Macaca mulatta: one gene and its partners. The protein of the gene in region 3 purifies or fractionates together with the protein of the main gene of each other region. This does not show direct contact. Links are inferred from orthologs where the notes say so. Each region holds a gene or a part of one and is shown on either strand. Other genes may lie near its edges. The genes, in order: ABI1, WASF2 and BRK1.

The links.
Region 1: the proteins of BRK1 (region 3) and ABI1 purify together in Homo sapiens (co-immunoprecipitation; 3 studies listed by BioGRID and IntAct, with this or other methods). This does not show direct contact. The link is inferred for Macaca mulatta from reciprocal best matches to the Homo sapiens genes BRK1 and ABI1.
Region 2: the proteins of BRK1 (region 3) and WASF2 purify together in Homo sapiens (co-immunoprecipitation; 3 studies listed by BioGRID and IntAct, with this or other methods). This does not show direct contact. The link is inferred for Macaca mulatta from reciprocal best matches to the Homo sapiens genes BRK1 and WASF2.

The regions. Positions count from the first base shown.
Region 1 is NC_133414.1:28,134,051-28,137,701, forward strand, and holds part of ABI1 (abl interactor 1), read right to left. Parts: intron 3,396-3,651; coding exon 3,295-3,395; intron 2,046-3,294; coding exon 1,905-2,045; intron 1-1,904. UniProt on the Homo sapiens protein: May act in negative regulation of cell growth and transformation by interacting with nonreceptor tyrosine kinases ABL1 and/or ABL2. May play a role in regulation of EGF-induced Erk pathway activation. Involved in cytoskeletal reorganization and EGFR signaling.
Region 2 is NC_133406.1:213,548,361-213,551,822, reverse strand, and holds part of WASF2 (actin-binding protein WASF2), read right to left. Parts: intron 3,094-3,462; coding exon 2,579-3,093; exon of another isoform or gene 2,329-2,578; intron 1,285-2,328; coding exon 1,127-1,284; 3' UTR 1-1,126. UniProt on the Homo sapiens protein: Downstream effector molecule involved in the transmission of signals from tyrosine kinase receptors and small GTPases to the actin cytoskeleton. Promotes formation of actin filaments. Part of the WAVE complex that regulates lamellipodia formation.
Region 3 is NC_133407.1:148,970,932-148,974,542, reverse strand, and holds the end of BRK1 (protein BRICK1), read right to left. Parts: intron 2,483-3,611; coding exon 2,400-2,482; intron 1,528-2,399; coding exon 1,501-1,527; 3' UTR 610-1,500; downstream 1-609. UniProt on the Homo sapiens protein: Involved in regulation of actin and microtubule organization. Part of a WAVE complex that activates the Arp2/3 complex. As component of the WAVE1 complex, required for BDNF-NTRK2 endocytic trafficking and signaling from early endosomes.

The DNA of each region.
Region 1 (3,651 bases), on a different chromosome or scaffold from region 3:
CAATGGCTGCTTTTGTGCTATAATGACAGATCTGAGTAATTGCAACAGAAACCATATGGCCCACAAATCCTAAAATATTGACAATCTGGCCCTTTATAGAAAACGTGTGCTGATCCCTGTTCTAATAGAATGAGCTCTTGAAAAAAGAACTATGCCTTATTGGCAAATGCCTAATATCTAATGAAACAACACTTAATAACTGTTTGTTGAATATGATTAAACTATGCTTCCACTATAGAGAAAACCTATACTTTGATCCAATAGTTCAAATAACAACAAAGAGAACAATTTTGTTCCTCAAAGAACTTGACTTGATACAGTATCTGCAGATATCAACTTAACAATTTGTTTACTAACAGTGGCAATAGTAATAAATACCACTTACCTAGCATCTCGCATCTCGATATGCCCTATTTAGTGGAATTCCCATAAATCATTTTGATAAGTTATCTCTCATTTACCAACGTAAGAGTGAAGGCAAAAGAGAGGTTCCCTGCCCACATTATTACGTGAGAGAGAAAACTAAAGAATAAAACAAATTTGGTTATAAAATAAATTTATCTGGTTTTATAAAGCACTCAAAAATTGAAGTGGCTACATTTTGGGGGAAGAAGGTCGAGGCAATAACTGGGAAGGAGCTTGAGAGGCTTCTGGGTTGCTGATAATGTTCCATTTTCTGATCTGGGTGACAGTTATATGAGTGTGTGTCCATCCATCAAGCTGTATACTTAATAAAGTGGATACTTTTCTGAATGTTATACTCTGTAACTAAATTTTAAAAAATCCACCGGGTAATTGATTTTTAGGACATTCAAAAATAATAAATACAAGGCCGGGAGCGGTGGCTCACGCCTGTAATCCCAACACTTTGGGAGGCCGAGGTGGGCAGATCACCTGAGGTCAGGAGTTGGAGACCAGCCCGGGCAACCTGGTGAAACCTCATCTCTACTAAAATACAAAAAGTAGCCGGGCATGGTAGCGTGCCCCTGTAATCCCAGCTTCTCTGGAGGCTGAGGCAGGAGCATTGCTTGAGCCTGGATGGCAGAAGTTGCAGTGAGCCGAGATCGCGTCACTGCACTCCAGCCTGGGTGACAGAGCTAGACTCCATCTCCAAAAAGATAATAATAATAATAATAAAACATATTCTAGTATACTGATTCTCTTGAAAGTCTCCCTCAGATTTAACTTCAATCTTCTTTCCTTCAATCTCTGAAAGTTTAAATCACGTTGTATAATTCCTATGATAGTTAATCTTTTCTCCAAAAGTATTTGAGTGGTTTGCCTTAAATTTTTTTAAAAGAGCATTTTAAAACATTCTTAGGGCCAGGCACGGTGGCTCACACCTGTAATCCCAGCACTCTGAAAGGCCAAAGCGGGTGGATCACCTGAGGTCAGGAGTTCGAAACCAGCCTGACCAATATGCAGAAACCCTGATTCAACTCAAAATTAGCCGGGTGTGGTGGCACAGGCCTGTAATCCCAGCTACTTGGGAGGCTGAGACAGGAGAATCGCTTGAACCTAGGAGGCAGAGGTTGCAGTGAGCCAAGATTGCACCACTGCACTCCAGTCTGGGCAACAAGAGCAAAACTCCGTCACAAAAAAAAGAAAAAAATTCTTTAGTCTTAACCCAAAGAGTCTGATAGAGTCTGTACCTCTATCAAAAGGAGGAAACACAAACAATACATTAATAGTACAAACAGGTGTTTAAAAATCTTAAAAAAAAAAAAAAACAGAAGTTATAACACAAATTTACAGGAACATATATAATATTATTCCCTCAACTTTCACATTTGATATTAGCATTAGAGTGGCACTTCACCTTTACTCAGCACCTCCATAGGAGTTTGTCACCAGTCAGTTACACCCACTTTAGAGATGTTCAAATACTCAACCTAAAGGCTTACCTGTGTGTCCTTGGTCTCTGATTTAAAGATGCTGTCCTGCCTGGACTATGCTGACTTCCAAGCCTAGCGGGACTCGTCATATAGTCATTAGGAACTGTTGGGGGTTTAACAGGTTCCAGGGTTTTATAAGGAGTATTCCGTCTAAAGAAGCATAGTGGAAAAAGGAATAATGAATAAAAAAGATAAAATTGTATTTTTCCCAAAAATATGTGAGTTTCCCTTTGTGACCATGTATGCCAGGATTTAAAAATATATATAACAAAGTTTGTAATTTTAAAAAATATTCTTCACTGGGATATATGAATTTTGTTATTTTAACATGAAAACTAAAATTTGTTTCCTTTTCCTAAGAAAAACATAGGAAAGGGTAATTTAAAGTCCTAACCTGATTTCTAAAAATTATAATTTTTTAAATGCTCAGTAATATCAAACTTTAAAATGTACATCATTCTCAGTCCAGTCACTCATAAGCCACTGTTCTTTAAACAGGAAGCTAAATTTCTTTATATAGGAAGCTGCAACTTATTCCTACCTCAATATGGCAATAAATGGAGACATACATTCTATTCTAATCATTAATTTCTCAATAAATGATTTCGACTTTTCTGTTTAATAACTTCATTTTTTTTTTTCAGGGGCGGAGGGTTTAATTAATAAAAATGAAAACTAAGACCTTCTTAAAAGAAGACTGATTGTTGAACAACCCCTCCACCAAAATATAAGAAATCCAATATAATATTCCCAGTATTAAGAAAAGCAACCTTAAAGAAACGTAATGCCCTAGCAAGTATTCGCTATATTTAGTACACTAAGAATTAAGAAGGAAGAAGCCACTGTTATCTTTTCTACTTGTCCAACTGGCCTTCCCATGGAGCTACTCTAGTATAAAGAGGCCTAAGAACACCAGCAGAAGCATAGTTACAAATAAAGTGCATAGTTTCCTAAAGTAAAGAGTCCCTAAGTCTCAGACACCAATAGGGGAAACAGAAGAGCTGTGGACTCAGCCACACTACACAAAAGTAGACCACTGGTCAAAGTTCTATAATATAGATACTGTAAACACATGCAAAGGCACCATTTGGAATACTCTAATCATTCCATTTAAAACAAGTCAGATTTATATTTTTTAAAAATTAGATGACAAAAAAATAAACAATGCCATTTATACGTATATAAAAACTTTCCTGGTACAGATTTTAGAGAGTATTACAAAGCCAGCAGATTCATTTGGGATTCTGTTCAGGAAAACAAGAATTAAAATGAATTTGTAAAAGGTAGTGTCACATAGAGAAGGTAGTGTGGCATGGATCCCATACACTTACTTAAGTCACAGAAACATCTTTTCCTTTAGCATATGAATTTCTTCTGTAAAATGTAGTTGAATTCTTACCCCAGTGTTCCCCGGCCTGACATGGGAGGACTTGGCGGTTTCTGAGTAGGAGGATTTGTTCTCGACAGAGTGCCAGTTCTTGCAGGCTGGTTATTTCCGTGCTAAAATGTAGAAAGAAATGCTTTTATTTTTATATCAAATTGTTCTCTTTGTGTTTTAACACCATGTATTATTTTTTTTTAATATCAGAATGTGAATTAAGGATTCCCAGACAGTTTGAATAAAGACTTTGGTACTACAGTTTAAAAAGTCAAGGAACCACTTGCACTTGGTTTTCCTATTATTTTATGCCATTCATATCACATTGTAGCAAAATACATGTGAGATCACTGGATTGTTTATCTTATTTTATTGTTA
Region 2 (3,462 bases), on a different chromosome or scaffold from region 3:
AAGGTTTGAGCAGCACTGACAGGGCTGGCACAGACCCTGAGCCCTCCTACTGGGACCCCAACCTATGGTGAGGTCTGGAGTAGCAATACAGCCGAGAAAGCTCTGCCCAGACTCCAGTAGGTGCCCATTCTTTGGTCCCAGAAAGCACAGGTGACTTGGAATCAGGAACTCTGGGCTCTAGCTATGTCACTATCCAATTGTGTGACCTTGAGCAAGTCACTTCCCATCTCTAGGCCTCAGCACCCTTAAAGGGTGGGACCCATGGGGCTCCGCTGTTCTTCCAGTCCTGCAGCTCCAAGTCTTCAGGCTTTGCTCCTGACAGCCAGAAGAGGCCCCTGTTCTCATGTGTCAGGGACAGTTTGGTCATGGACTAGAGGTTAAAACTGGGCTGTGTTGCCTGAAGGCATCTAGAGGTGGTGGTGGTGCATCCTGAACACCATACTCACCAAAGGGATCCTGGGAGGGAGGCAACAACTCCAGCCTACAGAAAGGCATCATTTTTGGGCAGAGGAGGTGAGACATTCTTTAGAGGCTTGATGCCTTCTGGAATAAAGGGCATCCCAGGCATAAGAGATCGTTTAGCACAAGGCAGGCCCACCCTGCTGATTAGGACAAAGGGTGAGGCAGTCTGGCCGTTGGAGCCTTCGGCCTGCTCTGCCCTTTCAGGGCACAGAAAAGGGGCCAGCTGTGTCCATTCAGGCCACTCCCCCTGCTTTAGAACCAGAGAGTGGCTGGCATTATTTGAAGTGGCTGAGGGCACAGGTTTTAGAAGACTGTAGTTGAATATGGCTCCTAAGGGAAGGCCCCATCTCCAACGGAAACCTGATCAAAGGAATCTGCTTTGGGATTTCTCCTTCCCTTCAATATGCAACAGGCACTTGAAGGAAAGAGGGAACATCCCAGCTACTGAACTTCAGGAGCCCCAAAGGGCCTGACAATGGGGAGAGGAAATACATGTTGATTTGGAGGAAGCACTTGGATATATCTTTGGTTGCTTCAGGGAAAGCTTTGGCCCCTTAAAATTACTTTTTTCCTCCCCTTTCTCCCCTACGGATCTGTTGGGGTTGGCATCAAAGAAGGCAGGTAGGAAGGAAAGAAAAAGAAGGTGGACAGCAGGCAGAAAGCGTTAATCCGACCAGTCGTCCTCATCAAATTCAGAGGAATCATCTTCTGAGTCACTGTACTCAACAGCAATGCGACGAGACAAGATGGTGGCCACGTCATTGCCCACGACATCCCGCTTCTCTTGTTCCCGCTGCTCCTCAACCCTGCGCAGCTGAAAACCTGGTGGCAAAGAGACAGAGGGGTGAGGAAGGCGTGTCCTCAGCCTTGGAATCCATCTGGAACTGGGTAAGGGGGAGTGGCCACCAGTGGGTAAGGGGTATTGCAAAGGACAGAGAAAAAGAAGGTTGTTATGGAAAAGCAGAAGATGAGTGTATGAAACTGGTGAGGTGTGTCTGAAAGGCAGCCTGCTGTCCTTTCTGGTTTACACACTTTCAGGCTGGTAAGGACTTCTCATGAGGCTTTGAAGTGGGGAGCAGGCACCACATTCCATCCAGCAGATCCTCAGCCTGCCCAATTCCATCAATTATAATGGGGCTCAGCTGCCATAGACTGTCTTCTCTAGACTAGAAGTTTTTTGAGGATCACAAACAGAACAAACCACGATAACCCCTTGGGACCACACCTGGCCCCTTGATAGAACAAATGCTCAAATGTTCCAGGAGGGTGAAATGATGAAGCGGGAGGGGAGGGGAGGGAAGAGGAGAAAAGAGGAGATAAAAGAAAATGGGAGAAAAAAGGGGTGAGAAAGAGGGCAGGGGGCAAGGAAGGAAGACACAAAAGGCAGAGCAGTGAAGAAGGCTGGGGGTTGCTGAGTCCAGTTGAACAAAGGCCCACTAGGACAGTGATTCTTGTTTTTTTCGAAGGCACAAAACCCTTCAGAGAAACTGATGAAAAATGGGGATCCTTTCCCAAGAAAAAAAATGCATGCAAACACGCATAAGCATACATTTCCAAGGACTTCAAAGATCCCAGCTTAAGAATCCTTTACTGCCGGGCGCGGTGGCTCACGCCTGTAATCCCAGCACTTTGGGAGGCCGAGGCAGGCGGATCATGAAGTCAGGAGATCAAGACCATCCTGGCTAACGCGGTGAAACCCCGTCTCTACTAAAAATACAAAAAATTAGCCGGGCGTGGTGGCGGGCGCCTGTAGTCCCAGCTACTTGGAGGCTGAGGCAGGAGAATGGCGTGAACCTGGGAGGCGGAGCCTGCAGTGCGCCAAGATCGCACCACTGACTGCACTCCGAGTGAGACTCCATCTCAAACAAAAAAAAAAAAAAAAAAAGAAAAGAATCCTTTACTTTTAAACCAAGGTGGAAAGAAATCTAAATCTCCATATTTTCAGGGTGAAGCCTTTTCTCAGGCTGCTCCCAGACCTAATGTCCCAATCTCTCCCCACCCAATGAAAGCTGTTTCCTGGGAAGGGCAAAGGGACCCCTTCACCCACCCCCCAATCAATCATCCCAGCTTCAGAAAGACAAGGCTCCACAGTCCCAAACCCACCACTGAAATTTACCTTGACGGATGGCTGAAAGCAGGTCGCTACGGGCATCACTCACAGCAGGCAAGGAGGACTTGGGCTTGGTGGTATCAGAAAGCGGTGGTGGTACAGCAGGCTGGCCATCTGCACCAGTGAAAGGGGGAGGAGGGGGCCCCGGAGGAGGAGGAGGAGGGGGAGGAGGAGGTGCTCCTCCTGTTGGCTGAGACAAGGGAGGTGGTGGCAGAGTTGGGTAGTCAGTTGCCGGTGGTGGAGGAGGAGGTGGAGGGGCAGCAAAATCAGGGTGAGGTGGGAAAGATGGGGGTGAGGGTGGTGGAGGCGTCCCTGGAGACCCAAATCCTACAGGTGGTGGTGGAGATGGGATGCCTATCATTGGAGGCGGAGGTGGCGGAGGGGCAGGTGGTGGAGCAAACCCAGGTTTAGGACCTGCTGGAGAGCCTAGAGGAGGAGCTGGTGGTGGATGGCTTGGGCTGACCACACTGGATCTTTTGGGTCCAGCCAAACCAGATCCTCTTTGGTTGTCCACTGGGTAACTAAAAGGCCAAAGAAAAAACACTCACCATCACCCTTAGAATGCAAACACCTACCTACAGTTAGCCTTGTCTATAAGCCGAGGTTTATCTTGGTTGACTATACCATTTCACTTTGGCTTAAACAGAAAGAAAAACCTACAGATGGTCAGAACAGACAAATAATGAAATAAGCAGCCTTGTAAGGTAATGAGCTTCCCACCAGTAGAGGAGGATAGCCAGATTGAGTAAAACTACCTGAAAGAAGTGGACTTGAGATTCCTCTATCAGGTAAGGGCTAGCTGAGACATCTCTCAGACCCCTCTGCCTTTCCAGCTCTAAGGGGAAGGCACCCTCCCTCCCTTTCTCTAAGAAGGATGGTCCATGGCAGTT
Region 3 (3,611 bases):
GAGCCACCGTGCTGGGCCTTGCGCTAGACTTTGAATGGCAAATATGATTTGAATTGAGGGAAATCAGTGTATACAGAGCATAATGACTTCTGTGTGACTAAAATAGATTCTATATAGTGGATAAGCCTTTAGAAGTTGGTTGGTACAAGTTTATAGTAAGCTTTGGATACCAAAATGAAAAGTTTAAACCATCTGTTTTTCTTTTTTTTTTGAGACGTAGTCTTGCTCTGTCACCAGGCTGGAGTGCAGTGGTGCGATCTCGGCTTATTGCAACCTGCACCTCCCGGTTTCAAGCGATTCTCCTGCCTCAGTCTCCCGAGTAGCTGGGAGTATAGGCGCCCGCCACCACGCCCAGCTAATTTTTTGTATTTTTAGTAGAGACAGGGTTTCACTGTGTTAGCCAGGATGGTCCCGATCTCCTGACCTCATGATCTACCCACCTCGGCCTCCCAAAGTGCTGGTATTACAGGCATGAGCCACCGCACCCGGCTATCTGTTTTTCAAAGAAGTAGACATTTAGCTTCTGCCTTTATAAAACTAATAATCTGCCTTGGATTGTGGCTAAATTGTGTGAATGCTGGTATTTCAACAGACTGTAAGCATCATGTCTGATTCAATGCTGTATCTTTTATTGGAGTTTAACATGCCTACATAGTAAATACTTGGTAAATGTGCTGAATGACCAAATGATTCCCAGGATGAGCTAGTCAGCTCAGAGTCCAAACATGGGGACTTGGGCTGGTAAGCCACCTAGGCTTTGAATCAAACAGCTGCATCTGAAAGTTTTATGTTAGAATAATAATGCCATATATTACATTTCTGTGCAATAAGTAAGTCCACCTCTAGCTCCTCTCCCCACCATAATCACAGCAGTCAGATAAAAAGTTGAGTTTATTAGGGAAATATGGGAGGCATAGACACTCCCAAGTGACAGAAAGAAAAGTCTAAAAATGTCCCTTCAAGCCAAGTGGGGGCCTGGCCTTGACCTCCCCAAATCAACAAGAAACTGGTGGGTCTGCAACAACATTCTCTGGCAGCCACATTGCCAGGGCATGAGTGTCTTGGCCAGGATTGCCCCCCACTTCCCACCAAAGGTGGGGAGGAGATAAAGACTGTTCACAGAAGCAGTGCAAAGGCAATGAGAACTTTAAGGAAAGTTTGAGAGAGAGAGAAAGAAAGATAGAGGCGGGGAGGACCTTCACAAAGAGTCCCAGGGTTTTGGCTGTGAATGTCTCAAATACATTGACAAGTAGATCTATAAAATGTTACTGAAAAGGTAAAATGCCTCATGTCGTTTCCAGCAGTTCCTCTGGACTTCTCCCCACATAACACACCACACCCCAGATGGCAGAGCCCAAAGGCCACACTTTTGAAAAAAGAAAAACAAGAATAAGCCCTGTTGCTCTTTAAGGAGAAAGGAAGGAGCTGAAGGCTGCTGGGGCCTTTCCCATGTGGCCTGTGTTGTGTAAAGCAACTTCCCAGCAGCAGCACGTCACTGTTCTAGGTGAGTGTCTCACCTTTTGTCACCTGTGAAAGGAAAGGAAAATTGACATTTAGATACATTCAAAAAGATTAGAGGGGTCTAAAAAAAAATTCTTTAGATCCTAGGCAGTGAGAAATAGTAGAAAAGAAGATAGCTGTGAAGTCACAGAAACCTGGTTCAAATCCAGGCAATCTGCTGAACTTTTGTTTTCTTTTTTTGAGACGGAGTCTCACTCTGCCACCCAGGCTGGAATGCAGTGGTGCGATCTCGGCTCACTGCAACCTCTGCCTCCCAGTTTCTTTTTTTTTTTTTTTTTTTTTGAGACGGAGTCTCACTCTGTCGCCCAGGCTGGAGTGCAGTGGCCGGATCTCAGCTCACTGCAAGCTCCGCCTCCCAGGTTCACACCATTCTCCTGCCTCAGCCTCCCGAGTAGCTGGGACTACAGGCGCCCGCCACCTCGCCCGGCTAGTTTTTTGTACTTTTTAGTAGAGACGGGGTTTCACCGTGTTAGCCAGGATGGTCTCAATCTCCCGACCTCGTGATCCGCCCGTCTCGGCCTCCCAAAGTGCTGGGATTACAGGCTTGAGCCACCGCGCCCGGCAGCCTCCCAGTTTCAAGTGATTCTCCTGCCTCAGCCTCCTGAGTAGCTGGGACTACAGGTGTGAACCACCATGCCTGGCTAATTTTTGTATTTTTAGTAGAGATGGGGTTTCACCATATTGGCCAGGCTGGTCTTGAACTCCTGACCTCAGGTGATCCGCCACCTCGGCCTCCCAAAATGCTGGGATTACAGGTGTGAGCCACCATGTCTGGCCAGTGCTTAAGCTTCCTAAGACTGTTTCTGCTTTCAGGTTTTTTTCAGTAATAAGTGGAAATGCGCATTCTCTCTTGGAATGCCCTGGCCCATCAAACTCACCCGTGCTTCAATGTACTCTATTCTCCGTTCAAGGGCTGTCAATTTCTCGTTTAGTGTTGCAAGTCTTGAACGACAAGACATATCTAAGAAAAAGAGACTGGTGTTCAGAATTAAGGTCACTTCAAACACAGACACAGACACACACAACTCCTACACTGAAAAAGAGGAATAATACACAGAATACAAATGGAAATGGATACAGTGAGAAGTATCTTAGCACAGTTCCTTAGAGTGGATCTGCTGAATTTCCTATCAAGTATTGCAAGTAGAGAATAACGGCCCCACAAAAATGTCCTTTCCCGCAGGGCGTGGTGGCGCATGCCTGTAATCCTAGTACTTTGGGAGGACTAGACAGGTGGATCACCTGAGGTCAAGAATTCAGGACCAGCCTGGCCAACATCGTGAAACTCTATCTCTTATTAAAAATACAAAAATTAGCCGGGCATGATGGCACATGCCTGTAATCCCAGCTACTCGAGAGGCTGAGGCAGGAGAATCGCTTGAACCGGGGGTCAAATGTTGCGGTGAGCCAAGATCTCGCCACTTCACTTCAGCCTGGGTGAAAGAGCAAAACTAAAAAAAAAAAAAAAAAAAGAAAAAAGTCCTTTCTCTAATCCCTGGATCCTGTGAATATGGATTATACATGAGGAAACAGGGCTTTGCAGGTATGATTAAGGTTAAGAACCTTGAGATCCTAGAGTTTGTCTTGGATTGTCCATTTGGCCCCAATCTAATCATAAGTCCACAAATGTAGGTGAGAAAGGCAGAGGAAGGGGGTCAGAGATGAAATGGAAGAAGAAAAAGAGATTCGATGTGTGAAGGGGATGCAATCTGCCATTGTTGGCTTTGAAAGTGGAAGAAGGGAGTCATGAGCCAAGGGATGTAAGTGACCTTTAGAAGCTGGGAACAACTTTCAGCTGACAGCCAGTAACAAAACAGAGATCTCAGTTCTACAACCACGAGAAACTGAGTTCTGCCAACAACCCAATATTCGAGGAACTAGACCCGCTCCTTGAGCCTCCAGAAAGGAAGGCAGTCCTGCTGAAACCCTGATTGGAGCTCAGGCCAGGAGCAGTGACTCATGCCTGTAATCCTAATACTTCAGAAGGCCAAGGTGTGAAGATTGCTAGCCCAGTTATCCGTGTTCAATTTATGACCTACACATGGTAAATAATAAATTTATGTGGTTTAAGCCATAAAATGTGTGGTAAT